Sus scrofa: one gene and its partners. The protein of the gene in region 2 purifies or fractionates together with the protein of the main gene of each other region. This does not show direct contact. Links are inferred from orthologs where the notes say so. Each region holds a gene or a part of one and is shown on either strand. Other genes may lie near its edges.

The links. Proteins that work in one complex are often made in the same cells at the same time.
Region 1: the proteins of NUP88 (region 2) and NUP214 purify together in Homo sapiens (affinity purification with mass spectrometry; 6 studies listed by BioGRID and IntAct, counting the BioPlex papers as one, with this or other methods). This does not show direct contact. The link is inferred for Sus scrofa from reciprocal best matches to the Homo sapiens genes NUP88 and NUP214.
Region 3: the proteins of NUP88 (region 2) and XPO1 purify together in Homo sapiens (affinity purification with mass spectrometry; 3 studies listed by BioGRID and IntAct, with this or other methods). This does not show direct contact. The link is inferred for Sus scrofa from reciprocal best matches to the Homo sapiens genes NUP88 and XPO1.
Region 4: the proteins of NUP88 (region 2) and NUP62 purify together in Homo sapiens (co-immunoprecipitation; 4 studies listed by BioGRID and IntAct, counting the BioPlex papers as one, with this or other methods). This does not show direct contact. The link is inferred for Sus scrofa from reciprocal best matches to the Homo sapiens genes NUP88 and NUP62.

What each region holds. Positions count from the first base shown.
Region 1 is NC_010443.5:271,101,977-271,107,807, reverse strand, and holds the start of NUP214 (nuclear pore complex protein Nup214), read right to left. Parts: upstream 3,971-5,831; 5' UTR 3,609-3,970; coding exon 3,564-3,608; intron 680-3,563; coding exon 484-679; intron 1-483. UniProt on the Homo sapiens protein: Part of the nuclear pore complex. Has a critical role in nucleocytoplasmic transport.
Region 2 is NC_010454.4:51,596,095-51,601,312, reverse strand, and holds part of NUP88 (nuclear pore complex protein Nup88), read right to left. Parts: intron 3,018-5,218; coding exon 2,916-3,017; intron 1,580-2,915; coding exon 1,421-1,579; intron 1,154-1,420; coding exon 1,028-1,153; intron 925-1,027; coding exon 859-924; intron 747-858; coding exon 666-746; exon of another isoform or gene 620-665; intron 416-619; coding exon 289-415; intron 127-288; coding exon 8-126; intron 1-7. UniProt on the Homo sapiens protein: Component of nuclear pore complex.
Region 3 is NC_010445.4:80,253,298-80,258,985, reverse strand, and holds the start of XPO1 (exportin-1), read right to left. Parts: upstream 3,971-5,688; 5' UTR 3,157-3,970; intron 1-3,156. UniProt on the Homo sapiens protein: Mediates the nuclear export of cellular proteins (cargos) bearing a leucine-rich nuclear export signal (NES) and of RNAs.
Region 4 is NC_010448.4:54,941,736-54,947,481, forward strand, and holds the start of NUP62 (nuclear pore glycoprotein p62), read right to left. Parts: upstream 3,971-5,746; 5' UTR 3,850-3,970; exon of another isoform or gene 3,646-3,849; intron 3,420-3,645; exon of another isoform or gene 3,332-3,419; intron 1-3,331. Other genes in the region: ATF5 (cyclic AMP-dependent transcription factor ATF-5), read left to right, coding at 5,391-5,568. UniProt on the Homo sapiens protein: Essential component of the nuclear pore complex. The N-terminal is probably involved in nucleocytoplasmic transport.

The sequences.
Region 1 (5,831 bases), on a different chromosome or scaffold from region 2:
AACTCAGATCTGGCCGTCTATGGCCATGGTGTAGGCTGGCAGCTGCAGCTCTGATTCAACCCCTAGCCTGGGAACCTCCACATGCTGCGAGTGTAAAAAGCAAAAAAAGAAAAAGAAAATAGTGTCCCATGCTGAATTTCTGTAACAACACTCCAAATAGTACATATTCCCATTTGTTTGGATGGTGCTCCTATGACAACTAAAAAGCCATGCAACACAACTCTTCCGGGAGAAAGCCGGAGCAAGTTCAACTGAGCAAAAACTAAAAGCAAGGAACAACTCATCAAAAGAGATACACGAAGAATCAAACGGAACTCCCAGAAAAGCTTCCAGCAGCCTACCCAGAACTTACTCTTCCTGGGGGTCAATCTCAGGACTAACAGCAGTTTTAATTGTACTGGGAGGATGACTTCTTCGGAAGCAAATGGCATTAGCACTGCACGACTCCTCTCTTTACAATGCACCATAAATTAAGTAACTTACCTATCTTATTGGGATCATCGCCAGGTTTATTCTGAATAAGAAGATTTTTGGTAGGAAAAATCTGCAACCCACTGGCTCCACCGGCAAAGACCAGGCCATACTTGTTGGACACGGCAAGTAGACTTGAGCGTTCCTTCGGCAGCTCCTCAGGGGAGTCAAAGATTCTCACCTTCTTCAGTGCTCTAAACTGAAAATCCTGTGGTGAGGGGTCAAAACAAGATCAATTCAAGTAAATAGGAAATTAAATCACCTGTCACTATATTCCAGTACGACAAAATACATGTTACCCTGAGGCTAAGTACTGTGTAGCTCAGTCTTCTTTGGGCCATGCCTGCAGCATGTGGAAGTTCCTAGGCCAGGGATCAAACCCACACCACAGCAGGGACCTGAGCCACTGCAGGATCCTTAACCCACTGAGCCATGAGGGAACTCTGCGCGTTTTTAATCTTCCTATGACATTGTGGTACCTGGCATAGTGCTTATTAGTATTTATTGAATAAAATAAATTTTTAAAAACTCATGAAGCTTTTCTTGACTAACCCAGTGAACACTGATCTTTCCCTTTTCTGAATTCCTAGCTTATTTATTTGTCTTTTTGTCTTTTCTAGGGCTGTATCCACAAAATACGGAGGTTCCCAGGCTAGGGGTCTAATGAGAGCTGTAGCCGCCGGCCTACACTTGAGCCACAGCAACACAGGATCCGAGCCGCATCTGAGACCTTCACCACAGTTCACGGCAACGCCAGATCCTCAACCCACTGAACAAGGCCAGGGTTCGAACCTGCGTCCGCATGGATGCCAGTCAGGTTTGTTAACTGCTGAGCCATGACAGGACCTCCTACCCTGTAAACTCAAATTACCAGTATAGTACTCAACAAATATACATGGAGGTGACCACTGAAGGGTAACAAACTCCCAAGAACTGGTTTACCTGCATCAGATGCCTGCTAAACAAAACTCCCGTCACAGATGGGGATGTGTGCAGTCAAACCCTTGGTGTTGAGGCCCAACACGCCCAGATGCCATGAGGACCCTCCAAAACCAAGCCCGAACCCCGGCCACAGGCAGTAAGCAGCTTGGCTTGACCCGCCCAAGCTGAAGCGCCACCTGACAACACTGCTTCCTTTGCACAACTACGCCATCACCCCTGCCACGTCCAGCGCCACCTCCACCCCCCACCTACTCACTTCTGGTTTTCCCTTCCTTCCATTTTCATGCTCCTTAGTGCCTCAGGGCCTGGTAGCCTTCCTCAACCTCCTGTCAATGCCTGACTCATCTAGTCTCCCATGATTTTATCAATCTGTTTTCAAAGAATTTTCAGTATGTACCATCTCTTGGTAAAAAGCGTTCCATATAAGCTTGCCAATAATTAAGTTATACTATATCGGTTTTTATTTTTTTCTTTCTTCAATTCTAATCCAGCTTTAAGTGAAGGTTTTAGTGAAAAGAGTGTGAATCTTCTTTTGCTTACACTCCAAAAAGTATAAAAGTGAAGACAGCCTTTCTTTCTTTTTAGGGTCTCACCTGAGGCATATGGAGGTTCCCAGGCTAGGGGTTGATTCAGAGCTACAGCTGCCGGCCTACACCACAGCCACAGCAACGCCAGATCCAAGCCGTGTCTGTGACCTATACCACAGTCACCGGCAACGCCGAGATCCTGAACCCACTGAGCGAGGCCAGGGGTCAAACCCACAACCTCATGGTTCCTAGTCGGGTTTCCCCTGCACCACGATGGGAACTCTTGAAGTACTCTTCTTAATTTCAACCAAGTATAGGGATCAGAAATCCACATGGCTTTCCAAGTGAGACCACAAAATTGTGAATCTTTTTGTTAATTCTCATCCTGATAATCCCAAATATCCTACCTGGGTCTTGTTTTGGCTTTTTGGTTTGTTTTTGTCTTTTATCTTTTGTCTTCTAAGGGCTGCACTCGTGGCATATGGTGGTTCCCAGGCTATGGGTCCAATCGGGGCTACAGCTGCTGGCCTACACCACAGTTACAGCAACGCCGGATCCTTAACTCACTAAGTGAGTCCAGGGATCAAACCCGAAACCTCATGGTTCCTAATCGGATTTGTTTCCACTGGGCCCCGACGGGAACTCCCCTACTTGGGTCTTGTAACCAGTAACCCAGGAAGGTGGTTGTTCTTAAACCTCTTCATCCTTCTGCCCCAGCATATCTGAGGAACATGGCACACTCACTGGGTGGCTCATCCAGGGCAGTGATTCTCAAGGAGAAAGAGAGCATCACAGCTCTAAACATGGTATGGATTACTACGCTTTAAATGCACTTCAGTGATTAGTTGTTCAGATACCTAAAGTCTTCCTACAACACAGTCCTGTTTTCTTGTGAATTCCCTCTCATCATTTGGCTCAGCTGGCCCGCTCAAGTGTTCTGACTTCAGGTTGATTTCCAGGACCAAAAGAGTCCTCCAGTTCCAGTTAACTAAAGCTCTTACAAGGTTCAGTGATGAACGGGCAAGCCTGGACCACCTTACAGAAGTACTGGCACCTGAGAGAGGGTCTTGAAAACACTAACGACAAACACCTAAATTTCTGCACGCTTGTCAAATGAGGCTTTGGGCAAGTTACTTTCTGAGCCTCAACTTGCTACTCTATATTAACAAGCACTTCGTAAGTTGCTGTGATAATTATCAGTGCCTGGCATAAAGCAAACGCTCGATACACAGTGGTTATGACCACTACTCCGACCACCACATTAGAGTAGGTAGGAGAAGAGTTCCCTTGTGGTCTAGCGGTTAAAGGATCCAGAGTTGTCACTGCAGCAGCTCGGGTTCGATCCCTGGACCAAAAACTTCCGCAAGCCGCGAGCGCGGCCAAAAAAAAAAGCGTAGTTAGGATAACTCAAGAAGCTCAGACAAGACCAACTAGGGCGGCAAAACTGCATTCAGTGGGGCTTTTACGCCGGCGGCACGGCAGAGCTCTCCAGGACGCGTTGGTGAGAACCGTGAGCCCGGCAAACAGTTCGAGCTGCAGGCGGGGGGCGGGGCAGCCGACACTCGCGTCTCGCAGGCAACACCTGAACTAAGAAAGGGGGGGAGGCCCCGGCCAGTGTCTGACCTTCATCTCCCGCTCGGGGATCACGGCGTCCATCTCGTCTCCCATCTCGCCGCTCTCAACTGGTCAAAGCAGCCACCGCGGCTGCCCGGGGCCTCGCCAACACTACCCAGGCGCTTCCAGGCCAACTTCCTTTCTTCAGGTTGAGCAGCGCTCCGCAGATTACGTACTTCCGGCGCGCATTGGTGACGTCAAGCTCCTCGGTCCGCGGACCTGTGAAGGGAGGCTGAGGGCCCTTCTGAAGTCTTGAGCCCTCCTGGCCGCCGCCTCCCATTGGCTGGCTTGGACCGAGTAGGGGGCGTGGCCCGGGAGCTGGGGCGCCTGCGCGCGGGAGGTCCGGTTGCAGCAGCCGCTTTAGCAGGTGGCGCGGTTTCGCTTTCGTTCTTTGAGCGGTGCACCTGCAGGGCCTCCACGCTCGTTTAATGGAAACGACACTGTAATCTGTGGATGTAGGTGGTTATTAATAGCTCCAATTGTAGAGAAGTTAGGAACTTGACAAATACTTCCAAGGGGCAGCTCCTGAGAAGGGCTTTGGAGGCCGGGAGAGTGGAGGGAAAAGTGCGGGAAGTTGGTGAGGTGGGTGTCGCCAGCGAGACTCTTCTGTGTCTAATGGCTGAAAGGGGAGATTAGAGGGCACCAGTGATTAGCTTTGTTTACGCCTTTCAAGGTAATCGTTTCCGGTGCAAGGGCCCAAAAACTGGGCAAAACACTATTTAATTTATGGTTTTTAGGCCCCGCCTGTGTGGCATATGGAAGTTCCCAGGCTAGGGGTCTAATTAGAGCTACAACGGGCAGCCTACACAGCAGGCCACAGCAACGCGAGATCCCCGACCCCACCGAGCCAGGCCAGGGATGGAACCCGCATGGTCCTGGATACTAGCCAGATTTATTTCCGCTGTGCCACAACGGGAACTCCCACAAAACACTTTAGATGTGTTGTTTACTCTTCAGTAGTCACCTAGGGGTTGTCACTGCCATTTAATTGATTGAGGTGACTGGAAGCACAGAGGAGTTAAGAAAATTCCCCAGTGCCCCTCAAGTGGTGAAGGCAGGATTAGAGTTCGGCTTGTCTGAATATACTGATTGCTGACTATGACACAGTCCTACGTAGAGATTTTTGCAGTGGAACTGTAAATGCTCTAGGACAGAGATTCTTAGCTTGGAGGCTGTGATCAGCTCCCGGGAAGATGGGGGGAGGGGTACGTATTCTGTCACTGCTTGGTTTTCAGCAGACTCCTCATCTGCTCCAAGCCTGCTTCTCATTTCTCAAACAAAAATGACATAATGGAACCTTACTCATGGGGTTGCTATGAGAAGCAAAGGAAGTTCAACGTTTAACAGCACCTGGCACACAGGACACATTCTTTTAGTCTGTCACTATATCAGCTAGTGCTTCTCAGTTTACTAAGGCCCAGAACCACCCCCAAAATACACCAATCAAGACGTTGATAAGTTTGTTTTATTTCCATTCTGTAGAGATATCTGGTACCGCACACACTCACATGCATACATACACACATACTGCATCCACCTGAATTTGCCCCATACACTCCCTCCTTTCCAATGGCAGGGGTGAAGCCATATTGGCAGCCCCCAAGTTGCTGGTTATATTAGTTAGATTTGGTCTTTCAGAGAGGAAACAGCGGAACTTCTAAGAAGCTGAGCCCATGGCCAGAAAAATAAGAGTCCTAGAGCTAATGGCCACAACCTGAAATACACACACACACACACACACACACACACACACACACACACACACACACACACACACACACACACACACACACACACACACACACACACACACACACACACACACACACACACACACACACACACACACACACACACACACACACACACACACACACACACACACACACACACACACACACACACACACACCCTTTCCAGGGACCACTCTTGAGACCCAGGAGCTGAGTTCCAAGACACGTGAAGGAACCGAGGGGGTTTCCCAGGACACTCCCTATCCAATGAGGACGCTTTCCCACCCTTTCTAGCAGCTGGGGACATGCCCACCTGCTCTCCTCTCCTTAGGAGGTTTCCTGCAGTCTTGTAAACCTGGGAACCCGCTGAGATAAGCCTAGTTGGTTCTGTGCTGAGTGGCACAGATACACTATGATGGGCAGTCAAAGAAGGCGTTAACCTTTCTAAGGTGTCAGCCAGTCCCAGAGAGGAGAGGCAGTGGGAAGGGGTGGAAACAGGCAGTTGCTCATCTAAGGTGGGAGGGAGAGGAAGGCAGGGGATCGA
Region 2 (5,218 bases):
TACTTACTCCTCCTTTAGGATGGACTGGATGCACTTCCGCTGGTAGGCACTGAGAGTGATGGTGGGCTTTTGAGGACTTAGTACCTTTTCCATCTTTCGTTGTTGATAGTCTTTTTTCATGGTAACCTTAAGTATTAAAGAGAACAGATACTTTAGCTAGGGTTTGCCATACATGTTCATAGTATCTACTTGAGCCTATTCTTTTTACATTTTATAAAATTGTTTTCTGTAAAAGGAACACTTCAATTTAAAAAGTGCCAAAGGTAGCCACCTTGGGTCCATCCCTACCTGTCGGATGGCATTGCCCAAATGCCGAAGTTGATCAGGTATCAGCTGTAATTCTTTCTTCATGTCTCTCTCACTGTCAGAGAGAACTGGGAGCTGAGAGTGAAAACTGTGAAGTACTTTCTTCATCCTTTAGAAAAGGTGAGCAAACATCTCGGCTTCAGATCGTGGCTCCTTAGCAGGAACATGATGCTGACCAAAGCTCCTCATTCGGGACCGTGGTGTCTCTGAAGGAGGCCCCCATAGGACGGGTGTGGGGGAAGCACCACCGCGCCACCCCCCGCAAGGATACTTCAGAGGGAGGACCGCACGCTCTCAGGACCCGAGCACTTACCACTCGTGGTGCCTGCTCGGGAACTCAGCGTGGCAAGCCCACTGACCTGTTCATGATATCTTCTTGTTTCTCTTTGGCTTCCTCGTATTTGTCAGCTAAGCGCTCAGCCATTTCCCGTAGACTTTTCCTAGTGGCATAAAAAATGGATGGTGACGCCAACTAAGCTGGTTCTGTATCTCAGAGCAAGATACGGTTCCAGTCTGACTCAGCTGTTCCCCACCCCGAGCTCTGGCACGTACCTCTCCTCTCGACAATAACTGAGATCTTCGAGTTGTTTCCTTTTTTGGTCACATAACAGTTTGACCCTTGAAGAACAAAAGGCAATTTAATCAGAAGCCGGTCTTGGCCGTGATACAGCGTCAGTCACCAGCCAGAGCCTGACCGGTGAGTGAACAAAGGCCGTCCTACCTCCGCTGAATCTCCTCCTTCGCCAGGTCCTGCTTAAGAATGTACTGTTCCCTGAACACCTGGGTGGCTCTGCTGATGAGCTGAAGACATTCTTCAGGAGGAGGAGCCGTATCTTTCTCAGACGATCTTTTAAAAAAAAAATCCTACCATCATTTCCTTAGCTGAGTCAAACAACTGAAAACTCAGACATTGCCACTTTTTAACCTGTCCTGATTATCCTTCTCCAGCGCCTCCACACCTCTAGTCTCCCTTCCTAATTACATACGCCCTTTCTCCCAACTTCAACACAGTAAAAAGTATACGAAATGAAAAAGCTGAGGACAGAGAGGATGAACAGTATATGAAAACAGAAGGGAGCCAGTTTTAAACACCTAAATGCCCCAAATCCCGTACTTCAGAAATGCTGGATTTGCAACACTACGTTGCAAAATGCTTCTAATATGTTTTTCAAAAGAATCCGGGGTTTCAGCCAGAATGCGGAGGGGAGACTCTGCAACCTCCACATCATCTCGGGTACAAAGCAGGGGAGGAGACGCTGAATGGACTGTGCTTCTGCAAAATAAATAAAGTTTATTACCATGGAGTTACTTGCTGTCAGCATTAGAGAAGAGCATAAGTTACATTTATCCAGAATTCTGAGACTATAAGAAACTACAAAGTGTTACAAATAAACTCACTGGCAATTTCAGAAAGCTTGAATCAAAGACTGCAAACTTCAACAGAATGCTAAGTCGGTGACTGGGCAATAATTCAAATCTGGGAGTTTGTTAAAACAGCAACATTACTTTATAGACAAATTGTATTTCAGGGAGTTGGCAGAAACATGACTTCTAGATAACGAATATTTAAACGTTTTTCCCCCCCTTTGGGATTTATGTTTTTATCCTCAAGTATCCTAGGATGACTAGGTCTTATTTTATAAGAGTTAGGAGAAGTTTTAAAAAACCATGTTGAGGCAAAAGGCAGTTTTTTGTAGTGATTTTAATACTTTCATTTAGTCTTGCTGGTTTTGAGTTTCTTGTAGCATAAATAGCACAGAATTGATAATTATTTTCCTTTCCAAATTGTATAACTTGTCACTTTTCAAAGAGTTTGGAAATTTTAAGGAGGGTGAATTAATGCCAGAATTTGGAACAATGTTAATATCTAGAAGCACATGCTTTCAGCTGACACCGAGACACAGCGGCGGGAGTGTTCCAGTAAGTACTCCAGGGGTTTGTTAGACTCCTATTTCTTCATTTATAAAACCCAGAGGATGACCTTCCAGGACTGCTGAAAAATGGTCTTATAGCTTAATACGGTTCCTCAAGAGGAACAAGGCCTATGGGTTCGGTTTATTCCACCTTCTTCCAGAGTTAACACAGTCTATGACAGCCCCAAGAGGCTGGCAGAGATGGAGAAGCGGAGAGTCAGAGTACGGACTCTCACGTCGGAAGCCCTGTATTTGCAGCCCAGGTCCACGTGTTACCTGGGGCCTCGGCACCTCCCTCTCGCCTGTTGCCTCTTCTACAAAATGAGGGTGACAAGTGCTGTCCTTACAAGGGTTGCTCTGATTACAGGAGGCAATGCAGGCTTACTTCTGAGCCTGGCACATAGTTAAATTTTGAAATAATTAACTCTAACTCATTGATAACGGAGTTCAGTATTCAATTTTAGTATTCTTTCTGCACTTGGAAGTAAAGGCCTTGACTCTCGGCTTCCCAGAGGAGATGCTGGAAATTCGGCCTAAAATAAACCCTTCCAGAGGTGGCAGGAGCAACAGAAATAACCACCCTTCCAACCCTCCAATCAGAAGCCAGTGTGAACCATGTATCTTTAGGTCAGTTGCGGAGGGCATCTTCCCGGCCCAAACTGGGCAGAGTCAACAAGTGTTACAAGGGGGACATACAGCAGGGGCCTTGTGAGGCACTCGTAGTTACTGGTGATGCAGATCATCGTCGGCCCCAGAATGTCGGGAACAATCCAGAATCCTCGAATCGGAGCTGGCTCCCTGGAAGAACACACAGGCACAGTTAAACCAGGAAGTAGTGAAAGCAGTGGCTCCAACAGCAAAGCTGTGGCCTCAGGCCTAGGCTCACTGTTGCCTCGGAAACAAGATGAGTGCAGCCACCTCACGGCATTGACTTGGAAACCTGAAAAAAGCTGTCACGTGACTTGTGTCACCAAGGACCCACAGCTTCACGGTGCTCGCTGTCACCTCAGCAGTTACAGGGACATGATGAAGCCACTGTACACTGAGCCAAGCACCCGACCCAGACTGAGGGCTCAGAAACTGGCGAGGGGACGTTAGTGTCTTTCTCACATTCAAAATTTAACAGAGGAGTTCCCGTCGTGGCGCAGTGGTTAACAAATCCAACTAGGAACCATGAGGTTGCAGGTTCGATCCCTGCCCTTGCTCAGTGGGTCAAGGTTCTGGCATTGCCGTGAGCTGTGGTGTAGGTTGCAGACGCCGCTCAGATCCAGCGTTGCTGTGGCTCTGGCGTAGGCTGGCAGCTATAGCTCCAATTCAACCCCTAGCCTGGGAAACTCCATATGCCGAGGGAGCAGCCCAAGAATCGGCAAAAAGACAAAATAAATAAATAAATCATTAAAAAAAAAATTTTAACAAAGCCAAAGATGAAAAATAAATGAGAAAAAGGAAATTCAACAGAGCCAACCCCTACGTCACAGGACTTACTGCACAGCTTGCTCCTCCTCGTCTTGGTTCTCAGGTCACTGAAGAGACTGAAAACCGAGGGCCCCAGACAAGAACTCTTTCCGGCCGGCCAGCCCACCCACCCGCGCCTCCCCGCAAGCTCCTTTCTGCCCCAGGACGATGCCCTCTCTCACCTCCTCCAAGAGATCCCGCCACTGTCTAGTTTCCCTGGGCTTATAAACAAGCCCGCATCTCTTCCATCCCAAAGCCTCCCTACCAGACATTTCAAGCTCTCCCCGACCTAGTCCTTCTCCCTTCCCTTTAGAACCAGCAGTCTGTCAACAGTAGCCTGCAGCACGGTCCCTCCACGTCTCTCATTCACTTTTATTTACAGAGGGGAGGGTGGTTTTTTTTTTTTTTTTTTTGGCTTTTTAGGGCCGCACCCATGGCATATGGAGGCTCTCAGGCTAGGGGCTGAATCAGACCTGTAAGCTGCCGGCTTACCCCACAGCCATAGCAACGCAGGATCCTTAACCCGGGGATAGAACCCATATCCTCATTGATACTAGCTGGGTTCATTACTGCTGGGCCACATTGGGAACTCCCAGGAGGTTACATTTTTTATATTTTTGGTGTGAGATCTACCTACAGGGGGGTTCCCATACACATCCTGTCACCACTGTCCAGGTGGAGAATGAGAACAGTGCGGGGACCTAAGATCTCGCTTGTGACCCCCCTGATCAAAGCTTCCAGGAGTTCCCCTCGTGGCTCAGTGGTTAATGAATCATGACTGGAACAATGAGGTTGCAGGTTCGATCCTCTGGCCTCACTCAGTGGGTTAAGGATCCAACATTGCCATGAACTGTGGTGTAGGTCGCATACACCGTCCGGATCCCGCACTGCTGTGGCTGTGGTGTAGGCCCCCCGCTACAGCTCCAATTAGACCCCTAGCCTGGGAACCTCTATATGCCGTGGGTGCAGCCTTAGAAAAGACAAGAAAGAAGAAAAGCTCCCACTTGCCAGAGAAATAATGACAATTGTAGTGTTTATGATACATTCTCGCTCCATTTTATAGCTTTCCCATCTATACACGTATTCACTCCTAAGCAATGCTGTGCATCTGTCTTTGAAATAGATCTAAATGAGATTTTATTGCCTTCTTCCCCATTCATCTTCAACCCAGGCTATCCTCTCCCCTAAAACCGCTCCCCCCTGGTTCTCAGTGAACCCTGTGTGCCGGATCCGGACTCTACTGCTCTGCGCTGCTCTGCTGCTGCCCGCTGCCTCCTCTTTGAAAGGCCCTCCCTGGCATCTCCCCCGCAGATTCCTCAGGTTCTCTGGCAGCCTTGACTCAAGTTTCCTTCTGGGCTGGGCTCCTCATCCTCCACTCTCTGCTCAGGTCACCTCTGCTCACTCAGGCCTTTCCCGGGGAGCCTCCAGCAGAGTCCTGGCTGCAGTGCTGACAACTGCCACATCCCGGCTGTCCTAGCCCAGACCACTCCCAGCTCGGACCCACATGTCCAGCTACCTCCTGGGCTTCTCCACGTGGAAGTGCT
Region 3 (5,688 bases), on a different chromosome or scaffold from region 2:
CAACTGAGATAGTAAAAGCAAATAAATGCTGAAGTTACTTAGGTACTCCATAACTGCATTAGTCATTAGGATCCACTTTATTTTTAAACCCCAGAAAAAATTCTACTGTTCTTTACACTGATATGTATACACAAAGTTACCCTAACCCATTTAAAAAATAATTAAAGAATTCATGGCCCTAAAAACTGATACAACTCAGTCTTGATCTCAAATTTTTATACAGATGAAGCTCAAATGGCTGTTTCCCCCCCTTCCTAAGTAGGGTCTTCTATTTCAATAAAAGCTCGCTTTCCCTCATTTCATGTTACCTTTATTTTTAAGATACGAAAATTACATGTGGGTGGTATAAAAGTTTTCCTATATATAGAAGAAATATAGTAAGTACCCTTAACCTCTGCAAAATTCAAGTTTCTGCCCTCAATTAAACCATCTATATTTGTTTCTTTTATCTTTGAATGAATTTGAAGATTAAAATTAAAGTGTACAAACTCCTTGACTATATACAGTCTTAAAAAAACCTTTTTGGTAATACATCAAACAAAACATTTTTTAAATTTCCAGGTATTCACTGGCAAAGCATATGGCTGTAAAAGCTTGCCAACTGTTTCCCAAACAAAAACAAACTTTATCATAAGAGAAAAATGAACTTCTTCACCTCAAATAATGTACTGGCCAAAACCTACTGGGGTTCATATGCAATGTTACCCTTTTAAGAGGACGCAACTCTAATGTGCTGGCACACTTTCACATTTTTGTTGCCCAGTATTATAAAAATCTTTCCTTTTACTTTTTCTTCAAAGCCAGAGCCACTTATGTCTGATTGGCTATATCAGTACTCCTCAACGTTTTTTGGGTCAAGATGCCTCACAATCAGAGGAACAGGATAGCTCTTGCCAAATTAAAAAATTTGAAAACTTTTCATACAACTGCAGATGATTCAGGACACCCTGAAAGCCACGCCTCAGGTTAAGTACCCTTGGTTTACTGTACTTAGATCCAACAAGGTCAGATGGTCATCTCTACTTCTCCCCCACTTAACCTTTCCAGATCAGGAAATGAGTGGTTAATTTGATTACCTTATGTTTGGACAAACTAGCTTGATAGGAAAAGGGCACTATTTCTTGGCTATTTTACTACGGTTTAAAAATATTCTTAAAAATGGCAGTAATTTCAACTCGAATGTCTTAATGATAATGTCAGTTACGACAAAGTAAAAGTCGGAAAGATCAATCAGATAAAATATAAGATATAATGTAAAAATTGAGAAATTAAGAGTTTAAGGACTTTCATTCAAGTTTTTTGATCCATTGACAACAAAACTGATGAGATTTCAAAAATTTCTACCAGCAGTTACTACCTAACATAATCTTTGACCTAAATATTAATACAAAAAAGGAAATATATATTTCACAAATTAAAGCGTTAAATCTCTCCCCTTCAAGTGTCATGTAATTTTAAAGGATCAGAACAATCTTAAAAATTGAGCCTGAAAAGCAATGTCCACGAAGAATCAAGATCTACATATCAAATGTTCTATGGGGGGGAGTTAATTAAAAACTGAACGAACTTTTCTCCTATTTAGTCCTATCATAATGTAATAGCCAAAACAAAAAATAAAGTAACTATAAAAAGTTTCATTTTCAAGTACATTGTCTTTACAGAGTTCAAGACAAATCCTGTGAAAAAGCAGGTTTAGAATAGAAGCTTCTGTTAAATACAGCAGGGTATGCCACCCTTAGAACTAGCGCCTATCTTCGAAATGACCTACCTAGTCTTAAACTGTACGTAGTACAGAAATGGCGGCTTTCTGGTCAATGCCAAGCACATTTAGTCTCCCAAATTAAATAGCTTCCAAAACATTCTTTCCACCAACAGCAGTGTCCAACGCGCTTAAGATACACAATCAAGCAGATAGCAAAACAGCCAAAGCGGGAGGTGAAAGAAACCACAAAAGCTTTCTCCGTTCCTTGGGACACTCAATGCTAAATTCCACTCACTGCACAGCAAATACAAGGTACTGTCCAGCCATGTGGTGACTCTACAAGTGACTACCAAAATACCTTCACAGCCACTTCAAACTGGCAGCTACACACTGCCAGCTCCCATCCAAAAGCCAAAAAATCATAACCGTTGCTTAATGATAACTACATAGTAGGTCAAAAAACAAGTCGCTACAAGGAGAAAGACTGCTACTTTAGGTGTGTGGGCAATTGCCTGCTTCATTCAGTAGAAACACACCTCACTAAGGCCCGCCCTCCCCTCTCTTCCCACCCGAACCGATCCGCAGCACTTCTAACTATAGCATACTGGAGCACGCACTCACCCCGCCCATACTCGGAGGAGGCATTTAGACCAGGCGCCTGAAGTTCACCGCCCCATTCTCAATGCAGCATGGCCTCTGCGTGATCAGAGGTCCGTGCTGGGCAGATCTTTAATGCTTCCTCTAGTACACCGCTTCCTTCCACCCACCCCAAACTCAGACATCGGAATGAAGCAGAATCAGGATATTGTCCACTGTACAGCGCCAGCAGTAAACGTTTTGATCACTTAACACACTCAAGTCCGTGAAAGCAAAACTACAGCATGGAACCTCACCTGCAGATTCCCCCCCCCCAAAAAAACCAAATAACCTTCCCTACTTTTAATCCTACTTTGCAAAAACCCAAAGATTCTGAGTTTCCCTGCAGGAGGAGCAGGCATCAGCCCCTCCCTCCCGCGATCCCAAGCTCTCCACCGAGGGGCCACGTGATGCAGGCGGACGTTTCAATGCTGCTGCACTAAATATTTCTGGAAACTTCCACTCCTAATAATTTCCTGAGATGTTCCTGAAATCACCCTAACTTCTCCCCGGCCCCTTGGGCTGGGGAAGCCCTTCCACTCCCGCGCCGGGCCCCACTTCACTATCACGCTCCTTGCCTTCCTCCACCGCTACCCGCACACGCGAATGACCCAAGCAAGCGCTCCCCTCCCGCGGCCGCCTCCCCGCCTCCATCCCCCAGCGGCAGAAGCGGCTCCATTCAATCGCAGGCTGTGCTGTGGGCCCGCCGCCGCCTCCCCGGCTCGTCTCCCGCGGCCGCCGCCGCGCCCCACACCAGCCTCCTCCCGCCCGGCCGCGCCGCCGCCCGACCCTCGGCCCCGAAGACACAGTCGACTTACCCAGAGATTGAACCAACTGCTTCTTCCTTCCTTGTCGGGGGATTAGGGCGAGGGAAGATGGGGAGGGGGGGAAGAGGGGAGGAAATCAAGGTGGGTTTCACAGTTTCCCCACCTTAAAAAAAGAAATTAAAAAAAAAACGAAGGCGATAAGGGCAAAAAAAAAAAAAAAAGCTCAATATTTACTATCTCAGGGACACCTCCCCCCGACACACACACCCACCCTCCCCCCCAAAAAAAGAAGGGGAATTAATATGTGGAATAAATGCTCCCGCCTGGCTGGGGCGTGAGGGAAGGGGGAGGGGAACCGGGTCAGGTCCCAAAGATTCAGCCCCAGGGGGACCCTCCAGCCACAGGCGGCAGCAGGAGCGGCAGGAGTAGGGGGTGTAGAGTCCACACGGTCGGGGGACGCTCTGCTGCCAGTTACAGTCCGACTCCCCCCTACCAAAATACGGCTCCCTCTCTCACGCGGCTCCGGTGCTGGGCCCCCCCCACCCAGGCTCGCCTAAACTTTCCCCCCTTCTCTTGCTCCTCAGCGACTGGTGGTTCCCCCCTCCCCCTCTGGGTGGTTGCACGGACTGCAGCAGCAAAGACTGGAACAGGCACCGCCGCCGGGGCTGTAGCTACTGTTGCTCTTGCTGATGCTGTAGCTCCCGCTGCTCCTGCCGCGGCCGCTGCAGCCGCTTCTCCCCCTCCTCCTAGTGCCTCAAACTCGGAACCGGTTGAAACCGGTTCAGACTGGGAGATTCCATCTCGGTTGAGTTTTCAGCCCATGGCGCCGCGGAGCGTTTGGAACCTGGGCCTCCGCCCCCAGTCCGCTTGCCCATTGGCCGCTTCCAGCCATAGCCGCGCCATCAGCCTACCTCCTATTGGTCATATCGCCCATCAATCTCTGCTCTAGGCTCCACACGAGCCCGCCGCTTCGGCCCCCGCCTCTTTCCAGCAGCGATTTGCCCGCAGAGTGGGGGAAGGGAAGTGGGGCGGGTCGCAAAGGAGCGAGGAGGGGGGGTGGAAGAGGAGAAGGTGGGACGAAGAGCTAAGCAGAGCAGAGTAGAGAGCGAAGAGAAGCCGCGCGGAAGATTGGTTCGAGAGGTCTGTCAATCAAATATAGCCCGCCCTCAACTTCCCGTCCTCCTCCCTCCGCTCCCCCTCCCAGGGCTTAGCCCGCAGGCCCGGCCTTTCCGGCCCGTTCATTGGCTGGGCGCCTTTGGTGACGAAGCGGGTGGGGCGCAGCTCGTGAGCTGGTGGAGGCGCGAGTTTAAGCGCGGCGCGCGGCCGCCTGCGTCCGCTCGGCTACTCCCGGACTCGCGTTGGTCGGCCCCCGCCGGCTCCCGCCTAGCTGCAGGGCCTTAACCCGCAGTGGTCGGGACCTGTCCCCCACCCATCGGATGGGGGCTGTGCAAAAACTAGGGCACACCCAGTTTTTTTTTAATCGGAGAGGGGCGGGGTGGAAAAAAGGAGCGAAAACAACACAACGGAGGCCAGTCGTAGGCCCCAGACCGGGTTTGGGGCCGAGATGTTGAGAGGTTGGGGTGAGGTATGGGGCACGCTCCCTTGGCGCCTCTTACTCCTCTCCGAGACGTGGGAAAGTTACCTAAGTAGTTCTTGGGCAAGTCTCCTTCAAATTTTAACTCGCCGTCTCCCCAGGTTGGAATTTGGCTGCTTCAACAACCAATTCTTCCTAAAAATTAAGACACTGTAATCCCTGTAATTGGTTTAACATCCTGTGCTTTTTGCTGGGTAAGCTTGAGTGCCAGCTGCCCTTGATCTTCCTTTACCTTCGCTTTTTCCTTTCGGGTAGTTACCCTTCACAAATTTCATCATCACCAAGTAGTATTTTCTATGAAAGTCACACGCACGTGGCCCTTCACATGGTTGTCTCTCTTGTCCGCAAGTGCCCTCCAAGTAAGCTTTACTGATTGTTCTTTGCTGAAGAAACAGCAAGCAGCCCACCAACATTTAGTAGGCCCATTGTGCCACCAAGAGGTTGATAAATGGTTTATTAAATCACAGTTTTCTTCAGCAAATTCTCACTTACAGTGGACAAAGGCTAATACCCAAACACTGCTTAAGAGTAACTCTCTCACCCTCCAATAGGTTTGCCAAAATGATGTTGGATTACTTTGAGACCTAAGATTTTTTATTCATTGCTTAGCTTGAATGGTATCAAACCAAACTGTATTATGTATGTGACGAATACACTGATCATCTGGAATACTTACATCCTATTACAGGACTGTCCTGTTTTTTAAAAAGTTTTTCCTCCACATTTTCAGCTCTTGCACCAGGCCACTGATTTTTTTAGATGCCAGAACAATGAATAAAAATCGACTGGTTTGTAAGACCTGGCTTTGCTGAGAATGTGACCTTGGGCAAGTCTCTTGACCTCTTTGGGCCTCAGTTTCCTTTTCACTCATTAATGAGACTCATATCATCCATGCCTGTCTCATCTGTATAGAGATCAAATGGGTGTGAAAGAGCAGTGTGGCCCATAAAGCACTAAATAGTCCCAGTTTTCTGTCCTCTTCTTTAGCT
Region 4 (5,746 bases), on a different chromosome or scaffold from region 2:
GGGCCAGGCATGGGGAGAGGGCTCAGGGCGCCAAGACCCGGGCTTACCGGCACCACTGACGACCCACTGCCCATAAACTCGAATATGCTGGGGAACTAAGTGCCCGCTGGCACCCGCTCAGCAGAAGGGACTCAGGCTGCTTGGGTAGGGCAGTTGGCATCAGGACTTAACTCTGTGGGAGCCAGCAGCTGGAGCGAGAGAAAGGCACAAGGGGCCGGGAGCAGGGACCAGGGGCTTCTCAGTCAGCATACACCACAAGCAACTGGCAACATGACTCCCATACCCAGTTAAGTTCGTCTGCAGTTGTTAAAAAGCATTCTACCTGGCCGTCCTCAAAACCCCATAATCTCCACCTACGAGCAAAACCAAATGGAGAGACAGTCCGTAGAGCACCCAACCCATACTCTTCAAGACCATCGAGATCCTGAGACAAGGCAAGTCTGAAAAAGCCTCCGCAGACAGACCAGAGGCAGCCAAGGAGACGCGACCACTAAGTGTAACGTGGCATCCTGGGGGGATCCTGGAACAGAGGAGGGGCGTTGGGGAACAAGTGGCCAAATCCGAGGACCAGGTGGAGTTGAGGCGATAGAAAGGGGCTGATGTTGACTCCAGTGTTGTGACAAGTGCGCCATGGCAATGTAAAGGCACCGACTTCTACTCCTCTGCACGGCCTTCACAGCTTTTCTATAAATCTACAATTATTCCAAAATAAAAAGTTTATTCAAAGAAAAATACTCTGCCTAGTCCACCCGTCATGACCTAGAAGGTCTTTTCAAGAGAAGAGTGGGGGGACTGTGCCCCCTCGTTGCCAACAGCCTGCCCAAGAGTCGACCCTAATCCTACCTGCTATGGCTCAAGTACCTACACTGAGGAGGGCAAGGAGAAGGAGGTCCTTACTTCTCACTTAAAAGGCCTTTGAAAGCACTACGGCTTAGCAATGGAGAAAACATATCCACCTCCGTAACAACAGAAACCGCTTATGTAGCACCTGATGTGTGCCAGGAACTAGGCTATGAGCAGGTGGCCTGGATTTACTCATTTAAATATCAGACAACACTAAGAAGGAGGCACTACGGACAGCCACTTACATCTGTATGTTTCTAGTCACTAAACTCCTGGCACTTTCTGTATGTTTCTAGTCACTAAACTCCTGGCACTTTCTAGTCACTTTTATCCTGGCACTATTTTTTTTTTTTTTTTTGGTTGCGCCCACAAAACTTCCCGACCAGGGACCAAACCCTCACCAAGTAATAACCAGAGCCACAGAGGTAACACCAGATCCCCAACCTGCTAGGCCACCAGAGGACTTCTGTTCTGGCACTATTAATGGAAACCGAGGCACAGCGAAACTGCCAGGAAGCTAATAAGTGGGGTATAGTCAGGGTGTGAATCCAACAACTTGCCTCCAGAGTCTGTGCTCTTAACTACTACTCCATGCCGCCTAGGTAATAATGTGGCCCCAAAGGACAAGTGCTCAAATACTGGCACAGTGGACAGGAAGTACTCTAAGGGAACGGGGTCAGATCCCAAAAAGGGCTTCCTGTAGGAAGAGCAGCCTGTACTGGGTATGTAATATATCAAATGATCAGTATAATTAACACTGCTGTATGTTACATATCAAAGTTATTAAGAGAATAAACCCAGAGTTCCCTTTGTGACTCAGTGGTTAACGAACCAGACTAGGATCCATGAAGATGCAGGTTCGATCCATGGCCCTGCTCAGTGGATTAAGGATCTGGTGTTGCTGTGAGCTGTGATGCAGGTCACAGATGTGGCTGGGATCCTGCATAGCTATGGCTGTGGCTGTGGCGTAGGCTGACAGCTGTAGCTCCATTTCAACCCCTAGCCTGGGAACTTCCATATGCCTCAGATGTGGCCCTAAAAAGCAAAAAAAAAAAAAAAAAAAAAAGAGAGAGAGAGAGAGAGAATAAACCCTTCCATATGTCATACCTTTGGCTCGGATCTGATTCCTGGCCTGTGAACTCATATGCCATGGAGTTGCCAAAGAAAAAAAGAAATATGTATTTTTTCTAAGTATCTATTTATTTACTTTTTTGGGTCTTTTTCGGGGCTGCACCTAAGGCATATGGAGGTTCCAGGCTAGGGGTCGAATCGGAGCTACAGGTGCCGGCTTACGCCACAGCAGCACCAGATCCAAGCCACATCTGCGACCTACACTACCGCTCATGGCAACGCTGGATCCTTATCCCAGTGAGCAAGACCAGGGATTGAACATGCATCCTCATGGATGCTAGTCAGATTCGTTTCCGCTGCACCACAATGGGAACTCCCTATTTCTATATCTTTAATTTCACATCTACAGGAAATGATAAATGTTCACTAAACTTATGGGTAATCAAATTGTTATACTGTACACCTTAAATTTATAAAGTTTAATTATATCTTGAGTAAAACTGGAAAAAAAAAAAGCACATGCACATGGAACAAAACAAAAGAGGCCCATGTATCATTCCAGGTAACTCAAGATCTGGGTCTCCCACCTTTGGATCTTGACTCAGTCTCATAACCACCACCAAAGTCCTGAAAAGTTGTACTCCAGGTGTAACGTCTAGATGTGGATGAATGGGGGAGGAGAGGGGCTTGCAGCAAAGACCCTCGTCTACGGGGTCTGGTGGAAGGCCCTGTGTAATGGGAGGGACTGGCCAGGAAGCCCCATCTCTTTCAGCAAATGGAACTACAGATCTCCCTAAGTCTGGCAAAGGTGGAAAACTGATCTGGGGGTGAGGGTGGGGTGCACGGAGGTAGAAAACCATTTGAAAGGACGTCTAGGTGAGGGGCAGGGACAGAAGAATGAACCAACGGGCCTGAAAGGCGTGCTAAGGATAAGGGCTAAGGGGAAGCCAGCAGGGGATGGACACGAGAGTCTGGGCAATGATGCCTTGCTCCCGGCAGCAGGATGGGGCTGAGCGTCCATCGTTTGAAATGGGGGAGGGCAGGGATGCTAGAGCGAAGGAGACACAAGAATGATCTATTAGCAGGTGTTGGATGGTCGAGTCTGGGGCTCTGGCCAGGGGAGTTGGAAGGGGTGAGACTGGTCCCCAGAGGTCCTTGTTATGGATAATAAAAGCGGTTGGACCAGGCATGAAGGAGGGCTGGTTTCACAGACACCGACTGCACGGATTTTCACAAACGACCCCACTAGGAAGAGGTGATTATTCTCATTTTACAGGTAGTTCCCTATCTACGAGGCTAGAGAATTTAAATTATTTGCCCAAGGCCACCCGCGCCCGTCTGCGATTTGAATGGAGCGCGGTCTGTGACTCAAACCAGATCCTAAGCCACAACAAGGGTTCTCAGAGTGCCGTGGCAGTTGAAGAGATCAGCACGTGGCTGGCCGGAAATTCGTGAAGCAAGAGAAAGGAAAGGAGAAATGAACTCGTGCAGGGATCGGGGAAGAGGTGAGGCTGAACCACCAGAATGAGAGGGAACAGAAAGCCGGACCCCGGATCAGAAGGAGAAAGGGGCCCCACCCGAGTGGGGGTGGTCCAGGGGGTCGGGAGCAAAGCAGGGCCAGATCCTCAGGTCAGAGGAAGGGGAGGGCTGAACGCCCTGGTCGGAAGTGGGGGACAGTCCCCGGGATCCCCGAGGGCTAGAGGCCAAGCCCGCCTCCCGGTTGGGGCAGCGCGGGGCGGGGCGCGGAAGGATCCGGGCACGCCGTGCTGCGCCGCCCCCGGTATATCTGTCCCCAGTCCCCCGGGCCGCCTCATTCCCCATCCTCAGATCACAATCTCTCCTCACAGTACCGCGACACCTCCTCCGCCCGCGTAGCTCCAGCCATGGCTCTGTAGCCGCGACCCCTCTGTGCCCCCGGCCAGTCGCCGTGCTCACCGCGCCTGCGCTCTCCGCTCCTGCCGTCTTTCTTCAGCTGAGGCCACCGCCGCCTCTTCTTTCCGCAGCCATGGAGTGAGTAACCGCTCGCTCGCCCCTCCCTCTCCAACCGTCTTTCCCGCCCTTTCCAAGCTCGCGGCCCTCACCACCGGGCTCGGGGGGGTGGGGAGACAAGAGTGAGGAATCACGGTCGCGCAGGCGCAGAAGAGACAAGACGCTCCGTTTGCGCGCTGCGGAGCATGCGCACTCAGCTGATGGGGGGAGGGTGCGTTCTTCCAGACAATGTTGGCGTTTAAAGACGACCACATGCGTTTGCGCCTGCGCACTAGCTCCCAGAGAGGGTGGGTTTCCCCCCTCCTCCCCGCTCTGATTGAGTCTGTCAATCAGCGATTGCTCAGATCCACCGGCGCTTGTATCTCGGAGCAAAGGGCTGACGAGCAGCAGCCGCACGTGCGCAGCACTGATCCCGAGGAGGGCGGAGCCTTGCGGGGGCAATAGGACAGCTCTGGGGCTGGAGCCTGCGCTTTGGCCCTCGGCGAGACAGCCGTGTACGGGGGTGGGGGGAGGGGGAGTCGGGAGCTGTTCTCATCCCGCCCCCCTCCACCCTCCGCCTCCCTCCAGTTTGCTCAGGCGTAAAAGCACGTCTTCCCTCCCTTTCTTTCAAGCAACTACGGGGGCGGGGGCGGGGGGAGAAGGCGGGGCTTAGAAACGACCAGTTAAGGGACGGGAGCTAGGATAAGAGACGTCGCGGAGGGTGGGGCGGGGGCGGGGTACCCTTTGGGAGAAGGGGCGTGGCTAAGCGCGCCGTGCGCTGAGGGGGTGGGGTTTATATTGAGAAAGAGGCGGGGCCTCTGGGAATCGTCGGGGAGGGTGGAGCTAATAAACCAGGGGGCAGGGCTTGGGGGGACGGGAGACCACTGCAAAATTCGAAGGGAAGAATGGGATTTGAATGGAGGATTTTGATGAAGGGGCGGGGCAGGGGGATTCCCCTGGGAACAGATTCACAGCAGGAATCTAGGGACAGGGTGGGGCCTAAAGGATATGTTTTAGGGCAAGAGGTGTGGCTGGAAGAAAATTCCCCTGGGATTGAGGTTTTTGTGTTTTTTTTTTTTTTTTTTTTCCATGAGAGATAGTATTATGGGGTGGGTGGGAGGGTCTTAAGGTAATTCCCCTGGGACACCATTATGTTTCAATATTGGAAGGATTGGGTCTAGGGAATTCTGAGGAAAAGTAAGTCGGGGCCTAAAGAAAATTCCCTTGGGAATGGGTGGGGTCCCCATTTGAGGAAAGAAAGGGCAGATGTAGAATTCCCAAAAGGTAAGGAATCCTGGGGACCTGAGGGGGTATCGCTTGGTTTCCCCATGGCCTTGGCCGTTGGCGAGGCTGGCCCCTAACCCACTCACTTTTGTCTCCCACTCGTAGGTCCTCCACTCTCGCCTTGGTGCCCGTCTTCGCCCAGCTGAGTAATCTCCAGAGCCTCCTGCCAGCTGTTGGTGCAGCCTCCTTCATTGCCATCTGTGCCCCGCACCCGAGCTGCAGCCATGTCACTCCTGGCGACCCTGGGGCTGGAGCTGGACAGGACCCTGCTCCCAGCTAGCGGGCTGGGCTGGCTCGTAGACTATGGGAAACTCCCCCTGGCCCCTGCCCCCCTGGGCCCCTATGAGGTCCTTGGGGGAGCCCTGGAGGGCGGGCTTCCAGGGGGGGGAGAGCCCCTGGCAGGTAAGGGTAGGCAAAGAATGGAGGTGGAGTCATGGAGTGAGCTGGGGTCAGGGGGCAGGGGAGAAGAAGAATTCATTCATTCGTGTATTTATTCCTTCAATAAATATTTCCTGAGCACCTATAATATGTCAGGCACTGTTAGGTGCTGGGGATACAGCTGGGAACAAGACCGACGTGG